7 linked regions of the Canis lupus familiaris genome follow. The main gene of each other region encodes a partner of the protein of the gene in region 2 in a complex. Links are inferred from orthologs where the notes say so. Each region holds a gene or a part of one and is shown on either strand. Other genes may lie near its edges.

What was found.
Region 1: NUP98 (region 2) and CETN3 share a complex: the UniProt entries of both Homo sapiens proteins name them as parts of the nuclear pore complex. The link is inferred for Canis lupus familiaris from reciprocal best matches to the Homo sapiens genes NUP98 and CETN3.
Region 3: NUP98 (region 2) and RANBP2 share a complex: the UniProt entries of both Homo sapiens proteins name them as parts of the nuclear pore complex. The link is inferred for Canis lupus familiaris from reciprocal best matches to the Homo sapiens genes NUP98 and RANBP2.
Region 4: NUP98 (region 2) and NUP85 share a complex: the UniProt entries of both Homo sapiens proteins name them as parts of the nuclear pore complex. The link is inferred for Canis lupus familiaris from reciprocal best matches to the Homo sapiens genes NUP98 and NUP85.
Region 5: NUP98 (region 2) and CETN2 share a complex: the UniProt entries of both Homo sapiens proteins name them as parts of the nuclear pore complex. The link is inferred for Canis lupus familiaris from reciprocal best matches to the Homo sapiens genes NUP98 and CETN2.
Region 6: NUP98 (region 2) and NUP214 share a complex: the UniProt entries of both Homo sapiens proteins name them as parts of the nuclear pore complex. The link is inferred for Canis lupus familiaris from reciprocal best matches to the Homo sapiens genes NUP98 and NUP214.
Region 7: NUP98 (region 2) and NUP205 share a complex: the UniProt entries of both Homo sapiens proteins name them as parts of the nuclear pore complex. The link is inferred for Canis lupus familiaris from reciprocal best matches to the Homo sapiens genes NUP98 and NUP205.

The regions. Positions count from the first base shown.
Region 1 is NC_049224.1:18,661,397-18,666,047, reverse strand, and holds the start of CETN3 (centrin-3), read right to left. Parts: upstream 2,893-4,651; 5' UTR 2,753-2,892; coding exon 2,736-2,752; intron 516-2,735; coding exon 380-515; intron 1-379. UniProt on the Homo sapiens protein: Plays a fundamental role in microtubule-organizing center structure and function. As a component of the TREX-2 complex, involved in the export of mRNAs to the cytoplasm through the nuclear pores.
Region 2 is NC_049242.1:26,405,078-26,409,044, forward strand, and holds part of NUP98 (nuclear pore complex protein Nup98-Nup96), read right to left. Parts: intron 1,925-3,967; coding exon 1,808-1,924; intron 1,640-1,807; coding exon 1,341-1,639; intron 1-1,340. UniProt on the Homo sapiens protein: Plays a role in the nuclear pore complex (NPC) assembly and/or maintenance. NUP98 and NUP96 are involved in the bidirectional transport across the NPC. May anchor NUP153 and TPR to the NPC.
Region 3 is NC_049231.1:36,161,336-36,165,302, reverse strand, and holds part of RANBP2 (E3 SUMO-protein ligase RanBP2), read left to right. Parts: coding exon 1-1,875; intron 1,876-2,479; coding exon 2,480-2,557; intron 2,558-3,967. UniProt on the Homo sapiens protein: E3 SUMO-protein ligase which facilitates SUMO1 and SUMO2 conjugation by UBE2I. Involved in transport factor (Ran-GTP, karyopherin)-mediated protein import via the F-G repeat-containing domain which acts as a docking site for substrates.
Region 4 is NC_049230.1:6,129,640-6,133,803, forward strand, and holds the end of NUP85 (nuclear pore complex protein Nup85), read right to left. Parts: coding exon 4,109-4,164; intron 3,353-4,108; coding exon 3,235-3,352; intron 3,131-3,234; coding exon 3,030-3,130; intron 1,989-3,029; coding exon 1,837-1,988; intron 1,428-1,836; coding exon 1,326-1,427; intron 967-1,325; coding exon 868-966; 3' UTR 783-867; downstream 1-782. UniProt on the Homo sapiens protein: Essential component of the nuclear pore complex (NPC) that seems to be required for NPC assembly and maintenance. As part of the NPC Nup107-160 subcomplex plays a role in RNA export and in tethering NUP96/Nup98 and NUP153 to the nucleus.
Region 5 is NC_049260.1:122,023,720-122,028,214, reverse strand, and holds the start of CETN2 (centrin-2), read left to right. Parts: upstream 1-1,600; 5' UTR 1,601-1,640; coding exon 1,641-1,739; intron 1,740-2,656; coding exon 2,657-2,815; intron 2,816-3,126; coding exon 3,127-3,255; intron 3,256-4,495. UniProt on the Homo sapiens protein: Plays a fundamental role in microtubule organizing center structure and function. Required for centriole duplication and correct spindle formation. Has a role in regulating cytokinesis and genome stability via cooperation with CALM1 and CCP110.
Region 6 is NC_049230.1:52,962,711-52,966,677, reverse strand, and holds part of NUP214 (nuclear pore complex protein Nup214), read left to right. Parts: intron 1-822; coding exon 823-2,649; intron 2,650-3,967. UniProt on the Homo sapiens protein: Part of the nuclear pore complex. Has a critical role in nucleocytoplasmic transport.
Region 7 is NC_049237.1:12,345,961-12,350,419, reverse strand, and holds the start of NUP205 (nuclear pore complex protein Nup205), read left to right. Parts: upstream 1-1,572; 5' UTR 1,573-1,701; coding exon 1,702-1,729; intron 1,730-4,459. UniProt on the Homo sapiens protein: Plays a role in the nuclear pore complex (NPC) assembly and/or maintenance. May anchor NUP62 and other nucleoporins, but not NUP153 and TPR, to the NPC.

The sequences.
Region 1 (4,651 bases), on a different chromosome or scaffold from region 2:
AAAGAACACTCTCACAATGTGAAAAAAGAATGAGTCATACACAAATGAAAAAAAAAAAAACCCAGCAGTGGCAAAAATACAGTAAGAACTGTTTAAAACCTATAGTTTGAAATCTTTTTATTACATGAGTGAAAATAAGGCCCTACCATAGTAATATACTTTTATATTTAAAATACTATTCGCTTCACAGTGTGAAAAGGAAAGTCTAAAAAGATGCTAGTATTTAATTTTATTATAGCACTTAACTGTGAACATCTCAAATGGTTTCATATTTCCACAACCAGTTTAGTTAAAATACTTTAGATGGGTTATTTTAGCCAACTATAGAAAATGCAAACAATTTTAACAGAAAAATATACATTTTAAAGTACATTATTACCTTTAGTTCATGATAATCTATTGCTTCATCTTTGTCTGTGTCAAACAGTTCAAAAGCATCTTTAATTTCTTGTTTCTGTTCTTCAGAGAGTTCTCTTCTTTTTTTTCTCTTTGTTTTGTCTACTACAAGCTCATTTCTATGAAATGAGAAGAAAAGTCTATTCAGTCTACTTTAATTCTATTCTCCTACACATCTAGATAATTAAAATTTCAAAATGCGACAAAGAAATTAAACAAGGAAGAATTTTTTTAATTTCTAAAAAGGAATTATTTGAGAGAAAAATGAAATTTTTCTTCCCATGAGTCAAAGCCTTGCTCAATCCATAGTCTAAGCTGCTATAAATCTGCACTTTCCAAAACTGAAAAGTGTTACATGTTATTATAAGAAAAAAAGGACCTAACTTTCTTTCCTTCTGGCTTTGTATTTATTCTGATATTAATGTGGAAGAAATAACTGTGAATAAAAAAATTATTCATCACAGAAATCGCAACAAAACTAAAGCACTCCTACTTATTAACATTACTCTACAACATAGTATTAAACTAATCAAAGGAAAATTCATAATTGAGGATCATTGCATATTTGGCTTACTTTTGAGAGCATTTATAAGTTATCAAAATTACTACCAAAAAAAGCGTATCACTTAACAATTAACTTACAAAGTTTGTGGCATTGTGGGTTCAAAGTGATTTACAGTACACATTGCTAAGTTTGGGGCTTTATTTATAATTTCTTCCATTGATATTAACAAATCAACCGAAATACTGAAGTCTAAATATACCATGAAAATTAAAAGCCAAAACAAGAATGTTTGTGCTAATTTTCTATATTTTTTAAATTTCTTAAAAGGAATTATTTGAGAGAAAAATGAAATTTTTCTTCCATGAGTCAAAGCCTTGCTCACCCCATAGTGAAGAGTCCATGGTTTTCTAAATTTCACTTGTAAATTTAGATATAGCTTCTCCTAAATCCTGGAAATTTCTTGAAAGTAGATTTTATTTAAAAAGGCAGAAATGGGGATCCCTGGGTGGCCCAGCGGTTGAGCACCTGCCTTCAGTCCAGGGCGTGACCCTGGGGTCCCGGGATCGAGTCCCTGCACCGGGCTCCCTGCATTGGAGCTTGCTTCTCCATCTGCCTGTGTCTCTGCCTCTCTAACTCTCAAGAATAAATAAATGTTAAAAAAAAAAGGAAAAAAAAAAAAAAAAGCCAGGTATGTCTTAAGAGATACTCATCTTAGTGTTCCAAAATTTCGAATGGTGCCGCAACATCCGTACAAGAAGTTTGAAACCAATTTCCTAACACTTTGAAATGTAAAGCCTAGTTGATTTTATTTAATAAAAACACCTTACCTATTTGCCTGTGTTTTGCTTTCTAAAAACCTACCACAAAACCGTCAAGAGACAGACGATCAGAAGATGACCAGGAGACCTATAGTAATAAACAGAGCGGGGGGACAACCTTTCACAAGACACCTGACTTCGCGCGAACAGGGACCCCAGTCCCCGCGGTCACCTTCTCTGGACGGCCAGGTCAACAGCAGGACCCGCCACGGGGTCGAGGCAGGGCTGCCACCATCATCTCCCAACCCAAAGCCGCACCTGTTCAGAAAGGCGTAACCACCTTTTTTTTTTTTTTTTTTTTTTTTTTTTTTAAGGTGCAACGTGTAAAAACATCTAGGTGCTGCTGCTGCTGGGGGCAACGAACGGGGTTAGAGATTGGAAGTCAATGAAAGGTAAACAAAACTAAAAAAAAATTTTTTTTTGAGAAATCAATTAAAGTCATTTATATGGGTCGCCCGTTATATCTTAAAGCAGGGCCCCAGGATAAGAGCAAGGAAGAGTTTAAAGCTCTTTCCAAAATTTATAGCTCGGTCTGACGGCTGCAGGGGCTGCAGGGGCTGCAGGGGCTGCAGGGGCTGCAGGGGCTGCAGGGGCTGCAGGGGCTGCAGGGGCTGCAGGGGCTGCAGGGGCTGCAGGGGCCGGAGACCCGGAGGGCGGAGCTGAACCCAGGGAGGCTCCCCGGCCTGACTTCGCGGAGAAACACCGCGAGAAGAAGCATCGCGATATTTCACTCCCTCCTCCCAACTAGAAACCCATCTCCTCGGTGGTGCAAAGCCCGACGCGCTGATACAGACGCTAACTACCTCGGCACAAATGCACGGGACTCCTCACCTGCGGAGCACCAGGGCCCCCAGGGTGAGGAATCCGAGCCAGGAAGGCTGGCCGAGGCTCCTCGCCCTCATCCCAAAATGCATCCCCTTCCAGCTCGCCTCGGCCCAGCTACCTCCCTTCTACACACGCCAGCCCTGGGGCCCGCTGCGAGGTGTGGAGGGCATTGCGGCCTCCTCATTACCGACCTCAGAGCTAAACTCATTTTCTCTTCGGACAGAGACGTTCCCCTCGAGAACGACTTTAACGCCCTGCCCAAGGCAGCACGACTTCCACAAGCCGTTCAACAGACACCAACGACCTCAGCGGCCTCAAGGACCTCCCACAAGGTAGACGCTTCGGAGTCGGATTGGTTGACGTTGCTAACAGCCCGCCCATTGAGGCGGAAGCGTCCCTGGTCCTCTGCTCTCATTGGGCGTGCTTCGCGTCAATCAAAGAAGCCGCTCGTCCCTCTTCTTCTGCCCCTCCTCCCCGCCCTTTATTGGCTTGTTGAGGTTTCCCGGAATCCTTTGCGGAGCGAGGGTCCAGGTGTCTGCGTGGTAGTTTGGGCGGTAGGTGGCTGCACCTTGCCTCCCGCTGGGTGACCGCCGACGAGATGGACGGCTCCGGGGGAGAAGGGAGGGAGGGAGGAGAGGCGCGCCGCGGGGCCAGCCTCCTTAGCCGAAGGGAGGGAGCGGCTGGGGAATGAGGCCTGCCGAATTTGACTGCGCTGTGTTCTAAAACCTTGGGTGGCCTGAGTCCATGGGGAGTTTGTTTAAAACGCAGATTTAAACGTCCCGTCCTCCCAATTCTGATTTTAGTAGGTATGAATTTGCATTTTTTTCCCCCTTACAATCCCACGTGCTTTTAAGGCAGGTGCTGTCGCTTATAGATTGTATATCTAATGGGTTGGATTATTAGGCTACTTACGGTAAAGCGGCACTTGACGGTACCTTAGCTCCCTTCTCCCTCCCTGAAGGGATCTGTTCTCTTGCATCCTTTGTTTTACAGGGTTGGAAGCTGCTTATACACGTTATATTATCTTAAGCTCCAAACTAAGTTCTTGAAGCTCACCTGGGTAATTTGTTTACTTGTTCATCACTCCTACTAGGCTTTCTTCAAGTGCAGGATGGTATCTTTCATTTAACGCGGATCCCAGTGCCTGATACGGTGCCTGATGCACAGGCGCTCAATGAATATTTGTTGCGTTGGGTGGGATCTTGCTGTGAAAACCCACAAATCACTGAACTAAGTTGTAACCCTTATAAAGGAGTGAAATAGCCTGAATATGGCGTTGAGGCAGGGTAAGGGGGAAGATGTATAAACACTATGGGCTATGTATAAAGGATATATATATATATATATATATATCCTCAACATATATATGTTTATATATGTTTTTATATATGTTTATATATAAATATGTTTATACGTATAAACATGTTTATATATTTAATACACATGTTTATGTTGGGATCCCTGGGTGGCGCAGCGGTTTGGCGCCTGCCTTTGGCCCAGGGCACGATCCTGGAGACCCGGGATCGAATCCCATGTCGGGCTCCCGGTGCATGGAGCCTGCTTCTCCCTCTGCCTATGTCTCTGCCTCTCTCTGTGTGTGACTATCATAAATAAATAAATATATATATATATGTTTATGTATATATTTATATATGTGTTTAGGTATATATTTTTATTATATAAACATATATATATATATATGTTTAAAGAAGGGAGAGAACCAGTAGGACAGAAGAAAGTCTTCTTGAAGGATTTGGCCTATATGTTAGGCTTAGAAGGATGAACTAAATTTGGACAGGTAAAACTAGTATGATGGTGTAACTCTAAAAATTAAAGGTTAAAGGAAACCCCCCCCCAAAAAAAAAAAAAAACAAAATTAGAACACCTAACCTTTTAAAGTATTTCTATAAATCACTGTTGACTCGAAAAGGAAAGGTAATATTGCCACTAATACGGTTTTTGGTAGTTTAAAAGGAAGGTTGGGGCACCTGGCTGGATAAGTCTGTAGGGCATGCATCTCTCGATATCTGGGTTGTGAGTTCAAGCCCCACGTTGGGCATAAAGCTTATTTTAAAAAAATAACAAGAGGGAGGTTTACAAATTATTA
Region 2 (3,967 bases):
CCTGGCAATGGAATTTTAAATTGAAAAGTGACAAATAAGGTCAATGAGAAAACTAAGAACAATAAAAAAATTTAGACTGGGTATTTGAAAATAGATGTAGTATCATAATAAATTTGTGTAGATACACACACACAAATATAGATACTTGGATTCTTAACATGAAAATATAAATTTGTTCCCTTAGGGCACTAAGTGGCCAGAAGATATATATGAAGGCAACAAGATAATTACAGAAAAACTTCAGACACTTCAAGAGTAACTATAAAACAACCCAAATGTTCACTAACAGAGATTAGATAAACCAAGTATGGCATACATTTATAATGGACTATTATTCAGCAATAAGAAAGAATGAACCAGGACATCTGGGTGGCTCAGTGGTTGAGTGACTGCCTTTGGTTGGGGGCATGATCCTAGGGTCTTGGGATCGAGTCCCACATTGGTCTCCCTGCAGGGAGCCTGCCTCTCCCTCTGCCTATGTCTCTCTCTGTCTCTCATAATTCATTGAAATAAACTTAAGACCTGTGTCCTTCACTACATATACATTATATCTTGGTTAAAAAAAAAAAAAAAAAAAAGAATGTGATTACATTCATGAAAACCCAAATAAGATATGTCAACACAGAAAAAGACAAGCCAAGTGCCTGACCAGCTCAGGTGGTGGAAAATGTAACTCTTGATCTCAGGGTTAAGTTTGGGCCTCACACTGGGTGTAGAGATTACTTGAGAATGAATGAATGAGTGAATGAATGAATGAATAAATTTAAAAATGCAAGTTTTAAGTGACCAATCGACATACTATAATCTTGTAGTTTATATTATGTGTTTCATGGATTCATTGGGAAAAAAACTAAGCAGTTCACTGTTGAGGAGAAAAAAAGCAAAGCACAGAACTGAGGTAATAATAATTAACCAGAGCAACTGATACCATTTGAATGCCTATACATTTCAGGCATTATGGTTTATATACTAATCTAATTGAAACCTCAAAAACCTTATATGATAATTATCAGTATTATTTTAATTAAAAAGCTAATAAGCAATCTATCTGAGTTTATAAAGCTAGGTAAAGTATAACGATAGTCTCTCTGGCTATAAAATTTGGGATCTTTATACCAGGATAACTAATGACATGAATTTTAACCACTCCAAAGGCAGAAAAAGTATGTGAATTAGGAATCAAAGCGTAAGTGAATAGTGTTTAAATGTTACCATCTATAAACATAATAAAATCATTTAAGATCTCTGGTAGCTGACTTCCACTAAATTGAGTATCTGTGACAAATAAGAGGTGTCAAATGACTGGTAAAAGATTACCCATGTACCAATCTGAATCTGACCTGCTGGATGCATATGGTAAGTATTATTTTCTATTTCTTCTCGGTCATCCTGAAGTGACTCCTCATGAAAAGAGGTCTCTTCACTGCTTCCTTCCAGCCCATTTCGCAAAGCAGCACGCATGTTTAATGCAACAATAGTATCATCCACACTGCTACTGCTGTTGTGTTTATTTCCAGCACTCTCTGGGGTTTGAGGAATGGGTTTGGCAATAGGGTTAGTATAAAAACGTGACACAAGAGAATCATCATCTCCATCCTGCTGATGGTTGTCTTCGACAGGTTTGCTCAGGAAGCTGAATCTGAAAAGGTAGAAAAGAAACAGTATCTCAGTCCTTTATAACAATGATAACAGCCAACCCTCACTAAATCTTTACTGAGTGATTGGCACCATTCTAGGTGCTCGAAATCCCTTCAAAGTGAGAACAGGGCTCTCTACCAGAAACAACTCGAAACAAAATTTGGTTTACCTCTCCCCATTTTCCGGATAATCAGATGGTGAAGCTAGATCTTCTGAGTCACGATTAACAGGAGAGAAGAGATTGCTATTGTTAAGGTTTTTCAAAACCAACTTCTTAATGCTCTTCCTATAAATAGAGACCAAAAGAGGAAAAAAAAAAATTTCAGGTACACATAATTACATCACAAGCATTATCTTAAAAACTAGAGTCAAAAAGAACATTCTTGTTCAGCTCTTACGTATCTAAAAATTACCTAACAAGTCAATTCACAATGTTTAATACATAACCAGAACCTAAGGTCTCAAATATATTATACTATGGCATTTGAAAGAATAAGCTAAACACATTTAAAATAAAGTGGGAAATCTCCTTGAGGACATTCTTCTCTGAACCCTGAGCACTTTATCCAAATACTTATTTAACCCATCACACTATGTCTTGTATTTCAATTATTTCTGTGTATGTCTTCTCTCTTTAAACATTTTCTTCCTTTTTTGACAGTAAGGATTCACGACTGTCTCCTCACAGAACCTGACATGCTGCCTTGAAGAAAATAGGAAGGATACATTTGCTGACTAAATAAGATTTCTTTTTAAAGATGACAAAAAGAGGGGCAGCCCGGGTGGCTCAGCGGTTTAGCGCTGCCTTCAGCCCAGGGCATGATCCTGGAGACCCAGGATCTAGTCCCAGGTCAGGCTCGCTGCATGGAGCCTGCTTCTCCCTCTGCCTGTGTCTCTGCCTCTCTCTCTCTGTCTCTCATGAATAAATAAATAAAATCTTAAAAAAAAATAATAAAGATGACAAAAAAAAAAAAACCAAAACAGGACCGAAAAACCCTGAGAGCCAATAATGCAAATAATTGCAAATACCTTAAAATTTCAGGTGTGCATACAGCAGATTTATTTAAGACAAGAACCTCTATCGTATATAAGCTTCAAACAGAAGAAACAGAGATCATCTTATCTTACTCAACCTCCACTTAAAAACCCCCTGGATTAATTCATGTGCCCAATCCTTCTTTCATAAACAAACTACAATGGGTGATGAAGTCAGTTAAGCATCTGACTTTTGATTTTGGCTTGGGTCCTGATATCAAGGTCTTGAGATTGAGCCCTGTGTCAAGCTCTCCACCCAGCTTGGAGTCTGCCTGGGACTCTCTCTCCCTCTCCCTCTGCCCCTCTCCGCTGCATGTGCTCCTTCTCTCTCAAATAAATAGATACATCTTTTAAAATAATTAATTAATTAGTTAATTAACAAGTAGTAGACCACTCTTGTATATTTATTTCTAATCTCAACAACTGAGTTATGGTTAATCATCAGTAGCATTTGTTACAAACACACATATGCTAGTTATACTCATTATAATCATGTAATATTTATTAAATTAGCCAATGAAATAAGCACTTGACAGTAAGGAATTAGTATTTCTGTGAAAATTAAAACTTGCTTTCCTATCAATGACGGACTGGGTAATGCAAACCGATCCTCCTAGGACTAGGAGGAGCCAGAGCTCTCAAACTAGGAGAGCCAGAGCTCTCTATAAAGCAAACAAAATAGTAAAAAAAGATTGAGCCAGCACTAAGGGGCACTGGCACAGGGGCATGTCTGTTATTTAGGGTTGCTTTTCTCCTGGGGGCTTTTCTGATTCTAAGAGGAAGGTTAAGGGGCGCCTAGGTGGCTTCATCGGTTAAGTGTCTGCATTTGGCTCAAGTCATGATCCCATGGTCCTGGAATTGAGCCCTACCTCTGACTCCCTGCTCAGTGGGGAGACTGCTTCTGCATCTGCCCTTTTCCCCCGCTCATACTTTCTCTTTTTCAAATAAATACACAAAACCTTTAAAAAAAAATAAGAGGAAGGTTATGAAGTTGATGGTATGCTTGACAGTCTTCATGGACTAGAGAGACAGACACTGGAGCCTAGAGCCACCAAGAGGTTAAGGGCACTAGTGAATGCCACTTGCTCTGTGTTGGGACCTGGAAAAACTCTACTCCTCAAGTTTAGAGAGAACTAAAAGTAAAAAACATAAAATCACAAGTTTAGCTTTGATTCTATCATCAAGCACCTATCATAAAAAAGCAAAAATTCTCTTAAAAGTCAGTATCATCTTTGACCTCTATTGCCACAGTTTTGAGAATATATTAACAGACATAAAATAATTTTTAAAAAGA
Region 3 (3,967 bases), on a different chromosome or scaffold from region 2:
ACACTTCTGCTGACCTTGAGAAAGATGATGATGCCTATCGGACTGAGGACAGTGATGACATCCATTTTGAACCAGTAGTTCAGATGCCTGAAAAAGTGGAACTTGTAACAGGAGAAGAAGATGAAAAAGTTCTTTATTCACAGCGGGTAAAATTATTTAGATTTGATGCTGAGATAAGTCAGTGGAAAGAAAGGGGCCTGGGAAACTTAAAAATTCTCAAGAATGAAGTAAATGGCAAACTGCGAATGCTAATGCGAAGAGAACAGGTACTAAAAGTGTGTGCTAATCATTGGATAACAACTACCATGAACCTGAAGCCTCTCTCTGGCTCTGACAGAGCATGGATGTGGTTAGCGAGTGATTTTTCTGATGGTGATGCCAAACTAGAGCAGTTGGCAGCAAAATTTAAAACACCAGAGCTGGCTGAAGAATTCAAACAGAAATTTGAGGAATGCCAGAGACTTCTATTAGATATACCACTTCAGACTCCTCATAAACTTGTAGATACTGGCAGAGCTGCCAAGTTAATCCAGAGAGCAGAAGAAATGAAGAGTGGATTAAAAGATTTCAAAACGTTTTTGACAAATGATCAAACAAAAGTCACTGATGGAGAGAGTGAGAGCTCTGATGCAGGTTCTGCCAATGCCTCCGATACAATCAGCAAGCCAAATCCCGAAAACACAGGGCCCACACTGGAGTGGGACAACTATGATTTAAGGGAAGATGCTTTGGATGATAGTGTGAGTAGTAGCTCAGTGCATGCTTCTCCATTGGCAAGTAGCCCCGTGAGGAAAAATCTCTTCCGCTTTGGTGAGTCAACAACAGGATTTAACTTTAGTTTTAAATCTGCTTTGAGTCCATCTAAGTCTCCTGCCAAGTTAAATCAGAGTGGTACCTCAGTTGGCACTGATGAAGAATCTGATGTTACTCAAGAAGAAGAGAGAGATGGACAGTATTTTGAACCTGTTGTACCTTTGCCTGATCTAGTGGAAGTGTCCAGTGGTGAGGAAAATGAACAAGTTGTTTTTAGTCACAGAGCAAAACTCTATAGGTATGATAAAGATGTTGGTCAGTGGAAAGAAAGAGGCATTGGTGATATAAAGATTTTACAGAATTATGATAACAAGCAAGTTCGCATCGTGATGAGAAGGGACCAGGTGTTAAAACTTTGTGCCAATCACAGAATAACTCCAGACATGACTTTGCAAAATATGAAAGGGACAGAACGAGTGTGGGTGTGGACTGCCTGTGATTTTGCAGATGGGGAAAGAAAAGTAGAACATTTAGCTGTCCGCTTTAAACTACAGGATGTTGCAGACTCATTTAAGAAAATATTTGATGAAGCAAAAATAGCACAAGAAAAAGATTCTTTGATAACACCTCATGTTTCTCGTTCAACCACTCCCAGAGAGTCTCCATGTGGCAAAATTGCTGTAGCTGTATTAGAAGAAACCACAAGAGAGCGGACAGATTTAACTCAGGATGATAACACAGCAGACGCAACTTCAGAAGTTGGAGAAGTATCTAGCACATCTGAAGCAACAACAAAAGCAGTGGTTTCTCCTCCGAAGTTTGTATTTGGTTCAGAGTCTGTTAAAAGTATTTTCAGTAGTGAAAAATCAAAACCATTTGCGTTTGGTCACAGTTCAGCCACTGGGTCTTTGTTTGGATTTAGTTTTAATGCACCTTTGAAAAATAACAGCAGTGAAGTCAGTTCAGTGGTCAAGAGTGGGTCTGAAAGAAGAGTGGAACCTAATGGTGAAGAGTCGAAGAATTCAGATAGCAAACAGTCTTCAGACGGCAAAGTCAGAAATCTCTTTGCTTTTCCAAAGGAGGAGTCCTCAACTAATTACACATTTAAAACACCAGAAAAGGGTAAGCACTTAGTCTTTAATGTGAGCAAATTTTTCTTCCATTGATTTGTAACTATTTTGCTTAACGCATATACTCTTTGTAGAGTACTAATGTTTTAGTAAAAGTTGGGTCATAAACACAGTGCTTCATGAACAGTGAAAATACTGGTATAGATTTTTTTTTTCTCCCTAAATGTGTTTCCCTGTGACTGTTTAAATAGCAACAAAGAGTGGGTGTGTGTAGGTCATTTAGGAGATCTGAGTAACTGGAAGATATTTATATCATGTTTAGTGCAGAGAGCAAGAACCTAATATAGTACCAAAGTTTAGTGACTCGTACTTAAATCACAAACATTAACTCAAGTCTCATTTTTTTTAAGTGTTCATTCTTCAATGTAGTATTCTCTTGTCACTCAAAAAACGTGGTACTGAGATGTACATATAATATATATAAGGTAGTCTTACCACTATTTATTAAATGATCAAAGAATGAAACTACCAGGATAAATGAATATGTGAGACAGCCAAATTGGTATAAATTGAGGGTCTCTGGCTTTTTGTATTTTAAAATCACATTCACTTTGATTCTCAAAATGTTCAAAAACAAAATACTCTTTATTTTCTAGGATTTAATTTTAGCCTTTTTAAATCTAATCCAATGGCTTTTTGGACCAGCATCCCTTCCTCACAGCCTGAAAACAAAGGTATAGAGCTAGTATTCTCAGTATGAGATGACTTTTTTTTTTTTTTTAAAGGAGCTGGTAGTCCTTTGCAAAATAACTGGCTGTATGAAATTAAGGACTTAACACTACAATGTGCATGTTAAAAGAATGTCTGTTTAAACAAGTACTTTTTGACTGGTGGTGTATGATACCCTTTAATACTGTTTTTGTTTTTTTAATGTACTCAGATATCATGTTTTCTCACTCCTGTACAACAATATTTTGAGATAGATCCATGTGGTCTTTACCTTTTGCTGCTTTGTACTTTGTTACTGTATTATTTTCGACTCTGCTTAATGAAGACCTGTGTTTTTCTAACATTTATCTTTAGCCAAAGGTAATGTTTGTGAGCATGTATACACATGGAACAGTTTCCCTTTTAGTTATCCTTTTGGACAGGGTTTAGAAAAATAATATTTGAAAGTAGACCCCGTTTTTAATAGCGACCATTATATACCTGGTATGTTACAAAAGTCAATGTTGGTATTAGAGAGGAATAATAGGAAGTGGGGGGGGGGGTCTATTGAAGACCTTCAGGAGCAAGGGTAGGGAAATGTAAACTGTTTATTAGTATCTAATAACATATCTTGAGCAGCCCAACTATGTTCAGTGATAAAATGACAATCCTTGATTTTGGGGCCCATCATTTTTAAAGTATACCAATCATAATACTAGCTAACACAGCTCTTAACCTTCATTCTTAAGAATGTATTCCTTGAGAAATTATGTGAAAGTGTGGACTTCTTCCTGTAAATGACATATACTTGCATGCATACTATGGGACCCTGGGTTAAGAATCCCTGGCCCAGGCACCTGGGTGGCTCAGTTGGTTAAGCGTCTGCCTTCAGCTCAGGTCATGTTCCTAGGGTCCTGGGATCCAGCCTTGCGTTGGCTCCCTGCTCAGCAGAGAGCCTGCTTCTTCCTCTCTGCTGCTCCTCCTGCTTCTGCTCTCTCTCTCTCTTTCTCTGTCAAATAAATACAATCCTAAAAAAAAAATGTATCCCTGGCCTAAGAGCAAATTTACCAGTATAGTACAGTAGGATGAAGAGCCTTATTCTGTTTCAAGTCCAAGAATGTCAGGGCCCCGAAGGACCTTAGGGATGGAGGATATAGACATGAGGAAACAGGCCTGATTGGGCTATCTGAAGTGCCCAAGTTGTCTTTACTAGCTAACAGCAGATTTGGAATAAGAATCTGTATCTTACAGTATTGTAATTGATACCATGTTTTTCTATTTAAGGAGAGTAAAAGGAAAGTTTAACTTTGTAAAAGGGCTCCAGTTCTCTAGATCAGATCAAATATGACCTGTGTATGTAATTTAGAATTTTCTAATAGCCACATTAAAAAACAGAATTTAAAAAAAGTGAAAAAAGGAAGCAGATGAAATTAATT
Region 4 (4,164 bases), on a different chromosome or scaffold from region 2:
CTTTGGGGAAAGGTGGCACAAACCACACTCCCTGATCCCTCCCTGCACTTTGCCAGGTTTCCTTACTGTATTCCTTCCCTTCCATCTTGAGCAAGCAGGTTTCACTGCTTCATTAGGACAAGTCAAAAGTGAATCAGTTTCACTACCTATAAATTTAAGAGCTTTCCAGAGACTGGCTGCTTGCAGCCCTGGGAAGATTTGTGGGATTACTATATGGAAAATACACCTTTATAATAAGCTTTAGACATTAAAACTATCTGAGTGTTACTACTGAAGTCACTGCTTTGTGACAAATGGCTGTGTACAATATACTGACTCTGCTGCCCTTGTTTTGCTGCATGTCAAATAAAATCATTTTTGCCCTACCTGGAATCCTAATACAGATGACCATTCACTCTACTGTGGACAAAGCACCACTTAGGAATTCCAGACGTATACAGGTAGATATGCTGGCATCACCTGAGATTTTTGTTGGTCAAAGTACAGGTTCCTGGACCTTTTCCTTTTCTAAAGTAAAAACCAGGTAAAGGTTCCAGTTGATTGTAAAGGCTAAATTTCAGAAGCGTAAGTAAACCACTGACCACTCTTGTTTAAGCTAATAGGGAAGGAGGGCACTGCACTCACCGTCATGACTTCTAGGAGTGGCTTTTTTTTCTCTTGGAAGACAGGGAGACCAGTTCCATCCAAGGAAAACATAACAAGCACTTTCTTAATTACCACCAACCTCAGGTTCATAGTAGAGGGGAAACTCCCTAGGCTGGACTCCAAGAATTTGCCTTCTATTTGGGGGAAGAAAAATTTATTTTTTCAGAAATCTATATACATTGCCATATGAAAATGACACATTGAAGCAGCTCTTGGCTGACCTCAGGATCCTTCCAGTGAGCCTTCTTTTATAATGGCCCGGCCAAGATTTCGTGCAAGAGCAAGTCTCAGCATTTCCAACTTCGTGTTCTCCACGTCCTCCTAAAAGTAAACAGAGCCAGCGTGAGGTACAGCAGAAGTGTTCCTTCTTTAAAGCTCTGCAAGGCTCTATCTGACCCAAAGGCAGACCAAGGGCATTTAGCATTTAGTACTAGCTTCCAGCAAGTTGACAGAACCACATGCAAAGGCCCACTGTGACCGCCAGAAGAAAAGAACAGAACACTAGAACCACCCTACTTTCTACTAAAGAGTTGGGGGTGTCAATAACAGGTTAAAAGGTAACTCAAGAAGCACAAGTTTGTAAGGAGCCAGTGTTTCTGGAGGAAAGTAGGGAAGTCTAAGATGGAAGGAGCCTTTTCTCATCACCATTATGGAATCAACAATCCAAAAGCTAAAATAACCTGGAGTCGCTGAACACCAGGCTCTCTCCACACTGGCCTTCTTGAGGCGAAGTCCTCTAGACATCTCATCAGCTCATATGTTTGCTCTGCTGAAAAAACCACCTAGGAGAGAGAGGAGTGGCTGCTTTGCTTAGTTGCTCCCCAGGCAAGGGCTGCACTGGTCTGGGCATGCACCTGGGTTCAGAGATGGCCTTTGTGCAAACCCTTGGGAGGAGTGAGCTCTGTATATGCAGCTCTGGGAGGACAGAGCCCTTATGCTCACTCTCAGCCCTTCCTGTCAGGGCCCTAGGCGGAGTACTATCCGTAGACTGCTGCTTCATTTCAAATTAAGTAGCTTTTCTTGGGTAGATACCAGATTTTCAGAGTGGGCGTTACAGGGGAATGCACACATACGTGCAGGGCCCTACTTGGGAGATGATGTGTGGATGTGCACCCACAACAGCTACAGAATGAAGCACAATCAAGGACTACAAAACACAGAGAAGAAAATCATTCTGAATTCAAACTGTACCTCTTTCTCTTCCAAAAGGGGCAAGGCATCTATTAATAGTATTACCCAGAAAGACCGTGGGGCTATCTGGGAAGTCATCAATGACAGGAGAAGAGAAGCTGCATCAGCAAGACGCTTCTCCCCATAAAATCGGTGGAACTCGCGGTACTTTCCTATTGAGAAAACAGAGCACTGAGTCACCTCTGGCCCTAAACAAGATGAGAAACCCCAGACCAGCTGCTCCAAAGCAGGGAGACTCTTCCAGAACGGTCTCGAAACTCATGTACCAACAGAATTGAAAACACACATAAACACACACACACACACATACATTTTGAAGGAGCTCCAAAGAGCCAACCTCCCAGAATGTAACCACCAAACCAAACCAGAGACGTGGACTGCAACAGATTGAAGAACCCATAGGTCTCAATCTCATCATGAGGAAACCTGACATAAATCCAAAATAAGGGCATAAGAAAGCAGAACAGACTCTTCAAAAATGTCAAGGTGGGATCCCTGGATGGCTCAGCGGTTTAGCGCCTGCCTTTGGCCCAGGGCGTGACCCTGGAGTCCTGGGATCGAGTCCCACACATCGGGCTCCCTGCATTGAGCCTGCTTCTCCCTCTGGCTGTCTGTCTCTTTCATGAATAAATAAATAAAAATCTTTAAAAAAAAAGTCAAGGTGAAGAAGTGCAGAAGCACTAAGAAATGCAGAAGCACTACAGAGACAGGAAAACTGAATTTGTGAATGTGGACGTGACAAAAGCCGTCACTGGGAGAGCTGATAATAACCAGAACATGGACTAGAGATTTTATGAGAGCGGTACATTCGGATAGCTAGTTCTAGAAGAGGATGTGCTTCTCTTAGGAAACACGTGCTCAAGTATTTATGAAGAAAGGGGAAGAAACTCCAACTTTCAGATTACTCCCCCAAAACCTGAGAGAATAATAAATGAGGCAAAATAAAAATGGTGAATTTCGAGAAAGCGTACATGGGAGCTCCTTACTTCTTATATTACTCTTGTACCTTTTTCTCAAGTTTGACACTACTAGGAAATGTTTCCAGAAAATATGCTTTGTAGAGTCTGGCATACATAGTTCAAGGAATTTGGGCTCAACAGGAAGGAAACACTGGAGAAGCCTAAATCAGTCCCTCCCATCTGCACAACCCATCACTGTGCTGAAGGTCCGAGGGACAGAGCCCAGAGACTCACCCAAGAAGGTTAGTCGATCACTGAGCATCATGGCTGGCCCCAGGTTGTCAATGAGATCCAGATCAGAAAAGCAGCCTCGCTCACAGTAATCCTTGAGGAACCTGCCAGGCCCGGCCCAGAGGTCTGAGCAGCGGTCCCAGGCCACCTTCCTCAGCCTCCCGACTTCCCAGACAGTCCCCAGAAAGCCAAGAGAGGTTGAGCCCACCTGTCTGACACCAGCGTGGCAAAGGCAGCATCTTTGGCTCGGATGCTCCAAGATAGGGCAGAGCCCAGGCGATTGTTGCGGACAGCTTTCATGGCTAAGATCTTACAAATGCTGCGGACTTTGTAAGGAAAAAGAAGGTGAACTTTTCACCCTGCAGATCAGGCCGTTCTTGAACCTTGCCAGATAGGAGTAGGCTTCTCTCTCCTCTGAGCTTTCTGCAGCCTCTTCACAGGTTCCAAATACAACTTGTTGCCAACACTGGGGACTCTGGGGCTTATAAATTGCCTCCTGGTTCTATTAACACTATGTCCCATCCTGGCAGGAATGACCTTGTGAGTGGGTTTGATTTTAGGAGTACAAAAAGATTTTTATTGCTCCTCACAGGTCAGCTAATAGGGCATTTGTCCAGGTGCCAAAAACATCCTTTGGGTTTTGAATGCCATCCATACGTTTTCAGCGATGGTCATAAGCAAGCAGATGCCTCTAGAAAGAACTTGGGTTTTTATCCCTCAACAGTGAAAGGAGAGGGCGAAAATAGAACAGCTTTCTTTTTGTGCTCTTCCTGAGCTGCGACTGATCCTGCTTCCCCACTGAGACAGTCTTAGCTAGCAATAGCAACCCACCTGGGAGAAGTAAATTCCAAGCTGACCTCAGTCCTGACCTTCTTAGAGTAAGCAGGAGAGAGGAAGTGGGTCAGGATCTCTTTAAAAGGCCGTGTGCTCCACTGTTTTAAGTCCTGACACCTCCCTAGCCATTTGTCCTTCCTCAATAATTTTCCTGTTTTGGCTTATCTCTTGGCACCCACTGCCCAGCCGTTCTCCAGTCCGGCCAGAGCAGCATGAGCAGCAAGCATGCAGGAGGAGGGTGGGCTCACCTTGCTCAGTCATCTGCCGCTGCTCACAAATCCGCAGCACTTTGAGAGCTTTCTGC
Region 5 (4,495 bases), on a different chromosome or scaffold from region 2:
GAAGATATTTGCAAATGACGTATCTGATAAAGGGCTAGTATCCACAAATATATAAAGAACTAATACAACGTAAGCACCCCAAAACAAATAAACTAATTAAAAAATTGGCTGAAGACATAAACATATATTTCTTCAAAGAAGACATTCAGATGGCCAACAGATACATGAAAAGATGCTCAACATCACTCATCACTAGGGAAATGCAAATAAAAACTACAATGAGACATCCCCTCAGCTGCCAGAATGGCGAAAATCAACAACACAAAAAATAGCAGGTGCTGGCAAGGATGTGGAGAAAGGGGAACCGTCTCCCGGTGTTGGTGCGAATGCAACCTGTGCAGCCACTGCGTAAAACAGTATGGAGGTTCGTCAAAAAATTGAAAATAGAACTACTCTCATGATCTAGTAATTGCACTACTGTTACTCAAAGAACACAAATACAAATTCAAAGGGATACATGCACACTGATGTTTGTAGCAGCATTGTTCATGATAGCTAAGATATGCAAGCAGCCCAAGTGTCCATCAACAGATGAGTGGATAAAGGAGATGTGGGGTGTGTGTGTATGTGTGTGCGTGTGTGGGGAATACCATCCAGCCATAAAAAATGAAACCTTGCCATTTGCATTGACATGGATGGGGCTAGAGAATATTATGGCAAGTGAAATGTCAGAGAAAGACAAATACCATATGATTTCATTCATATGTAGAATTTAAGAAACAAAATAAATGAACATGGGGGGGGGGGTGAAGAGAGGCCAACCAAGAAACAGACTCTTAACTACAGAGAACACACTGATGGTGACCAGAGGGGAGGTGGGGGGGGGAATACGTTACATTGGTGATGGGAAATAAAGACTGCACTTATCATGATTAAAGAAAACAAAAGAAATTTAACAGAGTTTTATAAAAGAACAGTCTCCAGGCACCCCTCACACTTTCAAAACTCTTGTGTGACTTTGCTCAGTGTCTCCGCCCGAGTGGGTGTCAAAAAGTACATTTTGATGACCTCTCCCCTCATGCTCAGTCATATCTGTTTCACTCCCTCAAAACTCCCCCTCAAAGGGAGAGCCTCAGCGGGATTCGGTTTCTAAGTCGCAGCTGTCCACACCTCCTCGACACTCCCATTCCCTTCTCTGGCTCTGCTGTCCCTTGAGCACAGTCTCTGCTCTGACCCTCAAGGTCACGGTCTTCTCTGGCCCCTCTTTCCAAATTCAGTCTTAAGCCAGACCAGAAAGCCCCCAACCGGAAGGCCCCACCCAGCCCCCTACCCTCCCACCCAGTAGCGGATAGAAGGCAGCCTCCGAGGGTGAGGTCGTGACCCTTACCCGTCCGTAGGCGACCCCCCGGCCAGCCTCCGCGCGCCCTCAGCTTGCACCCAAAGGCCTCGGGCCGCTGGCGGTCACCCTTTTCTCCCCACCAGCATGAGCCGAGGATCGGCCGAGATGCCTCCGCCAAGGGGATTGGCTCAGCTCGGCGCCGGCTCAGCCAATCGGCGCTCACAATGTGATCCTGTCCAATGAGGCCAGGCCTCGGCTGTGAAAGCACAGCCCCCTTGCCCTGGGCCTGGCCTTTGTCCGCTTAGCCCCACCCACCACGGCTCCCCGCCAATGGGGAGCAGCGGCGGCGAGCGGGCTGCCAATGGGGAGCGGAGCCGCGCGCGCGGGGCGGTGGGAAAGGCGCCGAGTCAGTGTGTACGTCGGTTGCCGTAACAACGGTCCGCGGAGTCCATCGGCAATGGTGAGTGGGGGCCGCCCTTTGGTGCCCCGCGGCCAGGGGCTGAGCCCTTCTCAGGCTTCGTGTGGCCCTGCCGTCGCTCCCGCGCCGCTCTCGGCTTTGGAGTGCCCCTACTTCCTCTCGGCTAGTTCCCGGAAGGGTAGGGTAGAGACGTCGGCCGCCACCTGGGCCTGCGGTCCTGCGCCGCCTCCCCTTCGTTCAGTCTGCGCCCACCCATCCCTCGGGCGCGCGTGGCCTTCCCCTGCCAGCCCCCGCGTGACTGCCCCTGGTCAAAGAATACTCGGGTTACCCGCAGGCTCTGACCTCTCAGACCCTGACCTCCTGGTCGCTTCGTGCTACCAAAGTTTACCCACAGACCTGGGAGGAGGTTTATTATGTTTGATTGTTAACGTGCATTCTGAATAAATACAGGGATCTTTCGGGAGACGTTTTGATCTAATTAAAGTAGGCACAGACCTGCCTAGTGGATGGAATTTTATTATACACCTTAGCAAAGTAGTAATATTGGGCCAAATGTAGAAGTAATCACAAAGTTGGAGTACAGAGAGGAGGAATACTGCGAGCCAATGTTGTAAGGGCTTTTCTTGAATTAGGATCGCCAAATTCAAGGACAGCTGATCATCTGTACAGTTATCCACAGTCAGCTCCTTGGCTGGATCTCTTTGGGGATGATTTTCAATAAGAGATGTGCAAAGGAACACGGGATCTCCTTGCTTCTACAAAGAATAGGAAAAAAGAAGGAGGGATAGCGGTGCACGGAAAGATTGTTGTTTCAAGTAAAGCCCTGTTATCTCTCCTATTAAGCAAAGCTGTGGAATTGCTTGGTGTAAATATTTTATGTAAATATTTGTAACTATTTTATGTAAAATATGGATTGCATCACTTAATATCGTACTTCTGTGTTTGTAAAACACCTAAAGGCCTCTAACTTTAAGAAGGCAAGCATGGCATCATCTGCCCAACGAAAAAGGATGAGTCCTAAGCCGGAGCTGACTGAAGAGCAGAAACAGGAAATCCGGGAAGCTTTTGATCTCTTTGATGCTGATGGAACTGGGACCATAGACGTAAAGGAACTTAAGGCAAGCCCTTTACATTCCCACTGTACTGCCTTCCTTTCCTCTACTTCTTTCTCTTCTTTCCTTGTCACTGCTCTACCCCTTTTGCCCTCTTTTCCCTGCAAAAAGTTTTCCTGTTTTTCTCTTCTCCTGTCTTTATTTACCTCAAGTGTTATAAAATAAAATTGAGCACAAATATCAATCTGCATAACGCTATAGTGTTTCCCAGTCATTTTAACATGATTGTGTCAGATGCTGGCCTCATGCTCTCACTGTCATTTTTGTTCCTGCCAGGTTTTGATGTGCATATTGACATGATCCTGTTTTCATTGTAGGTGGCAATGAGGGCACTGGGCTTTGAACCCAAAAAAGAAGAGATCAAAAAAATGATAAGTGAAATCGATAAGGAAGGGACAGGAAAAATGAACTTTAGTGACTTCTTGACTGTGATGACTCAGAAAATGGTAAGTTACTAGGATAATCAGCCTATTTTCCACCCATATTGGTGAACAAATTTGAATCTAGATATAAAAATGTCTTCACTGAAGAAAGGTTAATACCAACTGGAGGGTTCTGCTGAAAAAGGGCAGTACTTATGACTGACAGGATGCTTAGGTTCTATCTGGCTCTCTTCAAGGCCACAGAATCACAGGAAAAGTCAGTTTACCCTTTGAGTAAGAGAACTGCTGTCACTCTTTTGTGATTATTTTTTTCCAACTGATGTGTTAACGTGCTGACCACAAGCAGTAAAACCTGTAAACACCAGCAATATTGCACTGCCTGACAATATGAAATGCCTATACTTTAAAGGTCAAAATTCTTTTCTCTCTCGTTTCTGATTCTGGGCGGCTCTAGCCTGAGGGCGGGTGACTTCTGACAGCTGTGTTTTCCACTACACTGGGAATTTGGCCTTTCAGCACTTTCATTTTTTTTCTTTTTTTCTGATTTTATTTTTTATTTTTTTATTTTTATTTTTTGGAGTTCGATTTGCCAACATATAGTATAACACCCAGTGCTCATCCCGCCAAGTGCCCCTCTCAGTGCCCATCACCCAGTCACCCCAACCCCCCGCCTACCGCCCCTTCCACTACCCCTGTTCATTTCCCAGAATTAGGTGTCTCTCATGTTTTGTCACCCTCACTGATATTTTCACTCATTTTCTCTCCTTTCCCTTTATTCCCTTTTGTTAACTTTTATATTCCCCAAGTGAATGAGACCATATAATGTTTGTCCTTTTCCAATTGACTTACTTCACTCAGCATAATACCCTCCAGTTCCATCCATGTTGAAGCAAATAGTGGGTATTTGTCGTTTCTAACGGCTGAGGAATATTCCATTGTATACATAGACCACATCTTGTCTATCCATCCATCTTTCGATGGATACCGAGGCTCCTTCCACAGTTTGGCTATTGTGGGCATTGCTGCTGTAAACATCGGGGTGCAGGTGTCCCAGCGTTTCACTGCATCCTTTCAGCACTTTCAAGGTTGAAGTCACCCATTCCCTAGTGCCTCACTTGTCCCCATTTTATTTTTTAAAATTTTATTTATTTATTCATGAGACACACACACACACACACACACACACACACACACACACAGAGGCAGAGACACAGAGGGAGAAGCAGGCTCCATGCAGGATCAGGCCCTGGGCTGAAGGCGGCACTAAACCACTGAGCCACCGGGGCTGCCCACGTGTCCCCAT
Region 6 (3,967 bases), on a different chromosome or scaffold from region 2:
TTAGAAACATCAATAAACACTGTAATAGGTGAATTTTACCTAGAACTATCATATTTTGGTTACTTTTATTCGCGCTTACTATTTGACCGGGAGTTGGTAGTGCTTCACCTGTTTCATTTCATCTTTATAACAGCTCTCTGATGTAGCTACTCTTACTATGTCTATTTTTCAAATGGGGAAATTGAGGCCCCAAGAGGTAAAGTAACTTTTTCAGAGTTATTAGTTGTACAGACAGCAGGTGGCAGAGTACCAGGCTCCAGAGCCTATGACCTTGACCCCCGGGTCATATTGCCTCTTTATGTAAAGCTGATTACCGAGTGAGCACTAGGGAATGACCCTTCATTGTACATAAAAATAATTGTCTGTGTACTGATATTTTCTTTGCCCATAAAAAACGCATGAGGAACTTCCATTTTGGATCAAGTCCTGGCCTACCAGGAGGTCCGTAGACAAGCACTGTGTCAAAAGTATTATTGAGGAAGGCACACACAGGGAAAAAAAGAGAGAAGATGTCATTTTATTTCTCTATCACAGTGTGATAACCCTGTGAATTTCATGCATTCTAGATAGGACAGTATGTTAGTTATGATGTAATGGTCACAAAAAGGATGTTTATTCTTCTCACCTCCGTGAGCTTGCTCAGAACTAGCCCTCTCGTGGAAAAGCCTTCACTATGTTTCCCCAAGGAAAAGTGCTGTCCCAGGACAGCCATCCCGACTGTATCGAGGGGAGAGAGACATGGGCTTGGAAACAGTCCGTGGGAATATGACAGATTATGTGTTGCTAAATCCAACCCACTTTCTAATTTCTTTTTCTTGCTAGGGGCAGCACCCCCCACTAAAGAGTCACACCAGCTCGACGCATTCTCCTTTGGCGGGGGAGGCAAAACTTTTTATGAGCCAGGTACTGAAAGCTCCCCACCCTCGGGGATGGCAGCGCCACACAGCTCTGGAGCCACCACCACCTCTCCTGCGGAGCCTGCGCCTTCCAGTGGCCGACCTGCAGCACCTTCTGGACTTGCTGCCTCTACTGCCTCTGGCAAGCTGGAAACTCCACCATCCAAGTTGGGAGAGCTTCTGTTTCCAAGTTCTTTGGCTGGAGAGACCCTGGGAAGTTTTTCAGGACTGCGCGTCGGCCAAGCAGATGATTCTACAAAACCAACCATTAAGGCTTCATCCACAAACCTGACTGGTGTGCAGCCGGCCAAGACTTCAACCGTCCCCTCGGGGTTTAGTTTTACTGGCCCTCCCCTGGTAGGGAAGCATGCAGAGCCCCCCGTGACCTCCTCTGTGACCACCACTGCAGGGGCACCAGCGGCAGCTGGCACAAGCACTAGCAGCTCCTCAACTGGCATCTTTGGCGGCCTGCCCCTCACCAGTGCAGGATCCTCAGGGATAATGGGTTTTGGTGGGATGACCCCAGGTGGTAGCAAGACGAGTTTTTCCTTTGGCAACCAACAGACGAGTAGTATGGTACCCCCACCTACCCCCCCATCAGCAACAACTGCCACCCCCCTTCCTACCGCATTCCCCACATTGTCCTTTGGTAGCCTCCTGAATTCAGCATCTGCTCCCACCCTGCCTGTGGCCTCTGGGAAAAGCACAGAGGAATCCACGTCATCAGCTTCTCCTGAGAAGCCAGACAACAGTGAGGTCTCAGCCTCAACAAGCTCGCTTCTGGGGCCGCAGCCGTCAACCTCACTTCCCCAGGCTCCTCTGCAGACTTCCGACTCTGTTAAAAAAGAAGCTGCTGTGGCTCAGCCTGCAGCCAGCAGCCCTGGCCCTGCAGGCTCCAATACCAGTCTCATAGCACCTGGTGCCGAGGCCGCTCCAGCTGCCCCCACAGTCCCCGATGTCAGGACGGAATCAGCGTCTCCCACCTCAACGCTCTCAGCAACTGGGCAGAGCACTGTCACGGCTGCTGCAGTCCCCAGCGTGGTCCCTGTGGCCATTGAAACCCCAGGTCCCCCTGTAACCTCCAGCTCTGTTTCCAGTGTTGCTCCAAGCCCAGTCACAGAGACACCAGTGTTTGGGACTGCCACCGCGGGCTCATCTGTCTTCACTCAGCCCCCCGCTGCCAGTTCTAGCTCAGCTTTCAGTCAGCTCCCCAGCAACACGGCCACTGCCCCCTCGACCACCCCTGTGTTTGGGCAGGCGGCCGTCAGCACCGCACCAAGCCTGTTTGGGCCACAGACTGGCAGTGTAGCCAGCACGGCAGCCGCCACACCTCCGGTCAGCAGCTCAGGCTTTGGCAGCCCTGCCTTCGGCACCTCAGCCACCGGGGTCTTTGGACAGACGACGTTTGGACAGGCTCCGGCCTTTGGGCAGTCCACCAGCAGCCCTGCAAGTGGCTTTTCCTTCAATCAGCCTGGGTTCAGCTCTGGGCCTGCTTTTGGCCAGTCCGCATCTTCCACCTCCACGTCTGCCAGTGGGAATGTCTTTGGTGCCTCCTCAAGTACCAGTAGCTCCAGCTCCTTCTCGTTTGGACAGTCTTCTGCCAACACAGGAGGGGTGCTATTTGGCCAGAGCAACCCTCCCGCGTTTGGGCAGAGTCCTGGCTTCGGGCAGGGAGGCTCTGTGTTTGGTGGCACCTCTGCCACCACCACAACGGTGGCGTCATCCTCTGGGTTTAGCTTTTGTCAAGCTTCAGGTAAGAATTTACAGAAGACTCCCTTTGTTCTCCTCTGCATTATTTGAAACATTTGCAAAAATCCTGTATTTCAAATTAAAAGAAAGGAGGGGAAACAAAAGAGAGACTCCAAATTCAAGAAGGGCACCTCAGAGCACTGGCGGCCTCAGGCATTTCCTGGGCCTTGTCACCATCACTGCAGTTCTGCTCCTCAGCAAGTTCTCCAGTCTTAGTCAGCAGAGTGCCAGTTTCATGGGGAAAAACACACATCTTTAGCTTAAGGTCATAGCAAGGTTCATACCTTTAGATTTGGAAGGTGCTTAGAGGCTGTTAGGTCCCAAACTGTCAAGCCTCGAGGAGACTCATCTAAGGTCATGAGCCAGAACCAGACTCTGAAGTGCCTCCTAGTTCGCTGCCCTGCCAACATTTTATATCCTGCTGCCTCTGACGCCATCTTACTTGCTATGAGGGCAGATACTGATGTTTGAGAAGTTGTGTTTTTTCCCCATTTTCAGTGTAATTAAACAAAAATCTTTAAATGTTACTTTTTTAAGTAAAACACAATCCACTGTTGTGTGTCCAATTTTAGCAGCTGCCTTTACTTCCACAAGTTATCAATAAGACAATTTGAAAATAATTTCGCTTTCTGATAATTATCTTAGGGAAAAGGCATTTCTTCAGTTAGGCTGTGGGAGGAGAAACAGGGATTGATGAATTCTTGTTGGGCAAGGTTATGAATAACTGCTTATTCGTTCACATGGTGATGATTTATTTGAAAATGGTTCATAATTTATCAGGAAGGAAAATTTTTCCTTCCTTCCCTCAACAAATATTTGTTAAGCTCCCACTAAGTTCAGCTACAAGGACACAGAGCTGAAAGAGTCCTGAGATCTACCTGCTGCCCTATCAGGAGGCTGTTTGGCCTGTGGGAATTATGGGAAATGTGATGATGGTTGTGGAGAGTGGGCAAGGGGAAAGGCCTGAGGAGTCTCACAGAGAAGGGTGTTCCACACACTGGGGTGCATCCTTTTTCTGCAGTCTGAACCTGAGAATCCCTCATGCACAAGTTTAATCCAACTATTTGAACATAATTGAGAACCTCTGAAAAAATCTTTCATCTAGTAACTATGTGGAAAGGTACCTGAACAATATACTTAAGCCCTGGTGGAAGAATTGACACTTGCCTGAGCTCACCCACCTAGATCAGTGACACGGCTGGGAAGGGAACTCTTGCCTTCTAACTCCTTGTCTAGGGCTCTTCAGTTAGAGTACACAGTCTCATCTGGTTTTCCCAGGTCCTGTTCAGACCAGCGCTTCAGACATCCTCTGCCAACCAGAA
Region 7 (4,459 bases), on a different chromosome or scaffold from region 2:
GTTGCAGGAGGTTGAAGTGTTCCTTCATAGAAAGTAAAGCAGTGTTCTGAGAGGGAAGTGTGTGGGCCTACGGAGGTGGGGGGGAAGGGGGCTTGTAATAGTCGTCCTGAGAAAGAAAATCTTTAAATGCCACTGTCTGCCAAATTTCTGCTCAGTACTTTTCTCTCTTTCGTGCTAAACTTCAGGAAATATCGCTTCGCCTTTTCATTTTCTCTTCCCCTCCACTCCTTAAAACAACTTTGATGGTAGTCTGGCATTTGTATCTATGTAACAATGACTTTCAAAAAAGAATTGTCAGTGACCTTTGTCTCCCACCTAATGTACATTGTATCCCTCAGTACAATTTGTTCAAAAGAATGAACATGCCTGCTCTGATTGTGCCTAAATTATGTAATTCTGATTTCCAACTCTGAAGTAGAAAATATATAAACCCTTACCTCCTCCCAACCTCAGTGGAATGTTGGAGGAGTTGATAAATTGGGATTGTAAGGCAGAGGGAACATCTCTAAGATAATCAGCTATAATTAACATCATTTTCCTAATAGGGTTGTTTTGAGGATTAAATGAGATATAATAATAATCAGTACATTATCCTATAATGTGAAATTGGTAATAAACATCTGGCATAGAATAATAAATGGTAATGACTATATTTTAGTTGGAAAATTTGCAAACTAAAATTCAGTAACTAAAAAAAAGAAGATCCAGTTATTTGGGGTCCCAGGGTGGCTCAGTCAGTGAAGTGTATGTATGCCTTTGGCTGGGATCATGATCTTGGGGTCCTGAGATCCAGCCCCAGGTCTGGTCCTTGTTCAGTGGGGAGTCTGCTTCCCCTTCTCCTCTGCTCCCACCATCTGCTCATTTTCTTTCACTCTTTCAAATAAATAATGTTAAAAAAGAAAAAGATCCAGCTACTTGAGGGTGCTTAGGTAGAAAAATATTTGGTATTTATGAGATCTGTCTGGAAAGGTCTTCAAAATAATCTTCCCTGTTAGGGGTGGAGTAAAGGCCGCGAATTGAACTTTGGGTGTTCATTATTCTACTTTTGTATACATTTGACAAATGTAACAAAAGTCATGATTTGTTTCACTTAGATTTGTTTCAACCTATGCAACAATGTTGATGCAATACACTTGCCATATTGAAATGTAATGAAAACTTAGTTTGTAACTGATTAAATAGCTTTTTGAGATTTGTATACCTTACACCTCACTCCACTCCTCAGAGAGAAATGCAAGGAAGGTGTAACTTGATATGGAGATAATGACCTGAGTTTACGGCTTTTATATCGTAAATAGGCGTAATTTTCTTTTTTTTTAATAGGCGTAATTTTCAATAATCAGTCTCATCTTTCTGTTGATGTCGTCACTCATCATTGGGGAAAAAAACTACAAGGACCAGAATCCACTACACGACTGACGTCACATCGAGGCCCTCCGGTCTCCGAACCGGTTGCCCTCGCCTAATTTGAATGAGCCGATCGCGGCGAAAATTGGCGCCTGTGACGTACAGCAGCTTTTTTTTTTTTTCTTCGTCTTCTTCTTCTACAGCCGCCTTTCAAGGCTTCTTCCGCCTCTGAGTGTGTGGAGAGTGCCACTCCGAGACAGGGTGTTACCTTTCTGCTCAGGCATCGCGTCGGGCAGCCTCGCCCTTTCCTGGGGCTTCCGTGCGGCAGGAGGGCTCCGTTAGGGCGCCTCCAAGATGGCGACGCTGTTGGCGGTAAATTCGGGTAAGGGCGGCCGCGGCAGAAGGGGGAACTTGCTGGGCAGGACGAAGGTTGGTCCTTTAGTGCGAGGTGCCGTGAGGTTCCTCGCAATGCAGGCCCTCGCTTGTGGGTATGGTGCTTGCTTTGGCCTAGCTCTGGGCCTAGAGTCCCAGCCCTCCCCGGTTTGAATGGCGCGCCTCGGTGCTGCCGCCCCAGCCCTCACGGTGGGGTTTCAGGAGGGAGGCAGGGGGGTTTGGTCCAGCGGCCCCCCCCCCCATCTCCCCGCAGTGAGGCCGGAGGACCTGAGAACGCGCACTTCCGAGTAGGCGGATCCGACACGGTAGTGAGAGGGGGCCTGGAAGTCGGGGTGCATCCTGCCGGGAGGGGGGTGTCTCAGCCTTGGGCGGTGCCGCCCCTGAGGCTTTGGGAGGAGTGGGTGCGTTTGCGGCGTCCAGACTCTCGGCGCCTCATGGGCGGGGCGAGGATGCCTTCAGCCCTGCACGCGGCGGAGCTGGGCTTAAAAACACAATCCCCCCTCCCTCCCCCAAACAAAACAAAACGCAGTTTCCAGCTCAGTGACATACAGTTAGCTTTTTGGATTCAGTTTTAGCAGCGTGTCTATGACATACTGGTAGAGAATGTCATTCAAGAGTAATATTTCCTGTCCCCCGCCCCCCCCCCGCAGTGTTTTGGGGTTTTTTGGGGCGAGGGTGGGGTTGGGGGAGGGGTGCGAGTGCTTGGTTCTACTTGCCATAGGACTGGTATTACTGTAAAGTCGAAATCTGAATTCTGCAAATCTAGCCATTTCAGTGACTCTGTCCTACCTTTAAAAAAAAAAAAAAAAATGATAAAAGATTATGTTTATCGAGCCTCTGATATGTCCCCAGGCATTGGACTGTTGCACTTGCATGATTTCATCTAATCCCCTTTGCACACCTACGGAGAAGCTGCTATTAAGTACCCCAGTCTACAGACTGGTGAAAAAAGACTTGGGGGTAGTTAAGTAACATCACTGAGGGTTATAGGGTAATAATGGTCGTAAGCCAGACTCAGGTGTTTAAACTACTTAAAGCACAAGCTAATTCATTTTATTACATCAGATTTTCATATATATATGAATGCGGGTCATGAAGTTATGTTCTTTTTTTTTTTTAAGATTTTTATTTATTTATTCATGAGAAACAGAGAGAGGGAGAGAGGCAGAGACACAGGCAGAGGGAGAAGCAGGCTCCATGCAGGGAGCCCGATGCGGAACTCGATCCCGGGTCTCCAGGATCAGGCCCCGGGCTGAAGGCAGGTGCTCAACCGCTGAGCCACCCGGGCTGCCCATGAAGTTATACTCTTACTACGGCTGTCCCAATCTCCCTACCCAGATATAATCTTAAAAACAAGGCTTGCATGTTACACGTGTGGTTAAATACTATTCTTTAGTACATACCAAGTTACTGTCATTAAACATAAATCATTGGAGGAAAGAGGAAAAGGAGTTACCAACAATTGCAAAGAGTGTATACATTGTATAATGCCTTGTGACAGGAGTGTGTAATCGACAACACGGAAAGGAATCATTTTTCACAGCCAGGAGTCAGGAGAATATATGTATATTTAATTAAACATCCTAGGGTAGCAGCCTGAATGTCCATAAGTGGATGAGTGTATAAACAAAATGTAGTGTATACGGACTACGAGATGTTTGTCCTTAAAAAGGGAATCCTGTCACATGCTACAACATAGATAAACCTTAAGAACATTGTATTAAGTGAAGTAAGCCGGCCAAAAAACCAAAAAAGGATAAATACTGTGTGGTTCCACTTATGTTTGATACCTAAGGTAGTCAGATTCCTAGAAACAGAATGTTGGCTGCCAGAGGGAAGGGAGAAATGGGGAGTTGTTTAATGGGTTACAGAGTTTCTTTTGTGCAAGATAAAAAATTCTGAACGTTTGTAGTACAACAGTGTGATGCCCTTGGCTACTGAACTCTACCCTTGAAGATGTTTAAGATAGCAAATTCTGTTAGTTCTTTTTTCCTACTTCCCCCCCCCCCCCAAAAAAAAAAAAGCCAAATATCTTATCGTAGACAGGGAAAAAATAGAGGTTGTAGGGTCTAAGACCTATGCTTGAGATTCAGCGGCATGATTTATTGGTGTTGTGACCTGTTGTCATCCCAGATGAGCAGACATACAGACTTGTTGATAAGCAGCCATTGATTGACACAGGCCTTCTGTGGCCATCTGGTCACCCCTGTCCTGTTCACGGCAGTGACTATCTCAGACTTTTCCACATTCCTCAAATCTTGTCTTCCAGCTGATCCCTCAGCCTCCTAGTCACAGAGAAAATAGAAGCCTGTAGGCATGCACTCTCTTTTTTTTTTTCCACCCTCAAACCTACAAACCTGGATCTATATCTATACTCGTTTTCACCGGTTTCCCTTTGTCTGAGTTAAATCCCACCTCTTATGCCCTTCTCCCTACTACCTTTTCTCTCTCGGATATTCACATCTCTTCTTGCTCCCTTTCTTTCCACTAGCCTCTTCTTTGGATCTTGATCTCATGCCTTGTTCCAGTTACTATCCTCTTGCTCCTCTTCACAGTCAGACCTTTCAAAAGATTCATCAGTTTTTACTGATACTATTTCCATACCTCTTCTTCCCCTACTCACTCTAGTTTCTTCCCGTCCCCTTAAACATTAGCTTTCAATAAAGTAAATGTGTTTTTCTATTTCTTTTTTAAGATTATTTATTTATTTATTTATTCA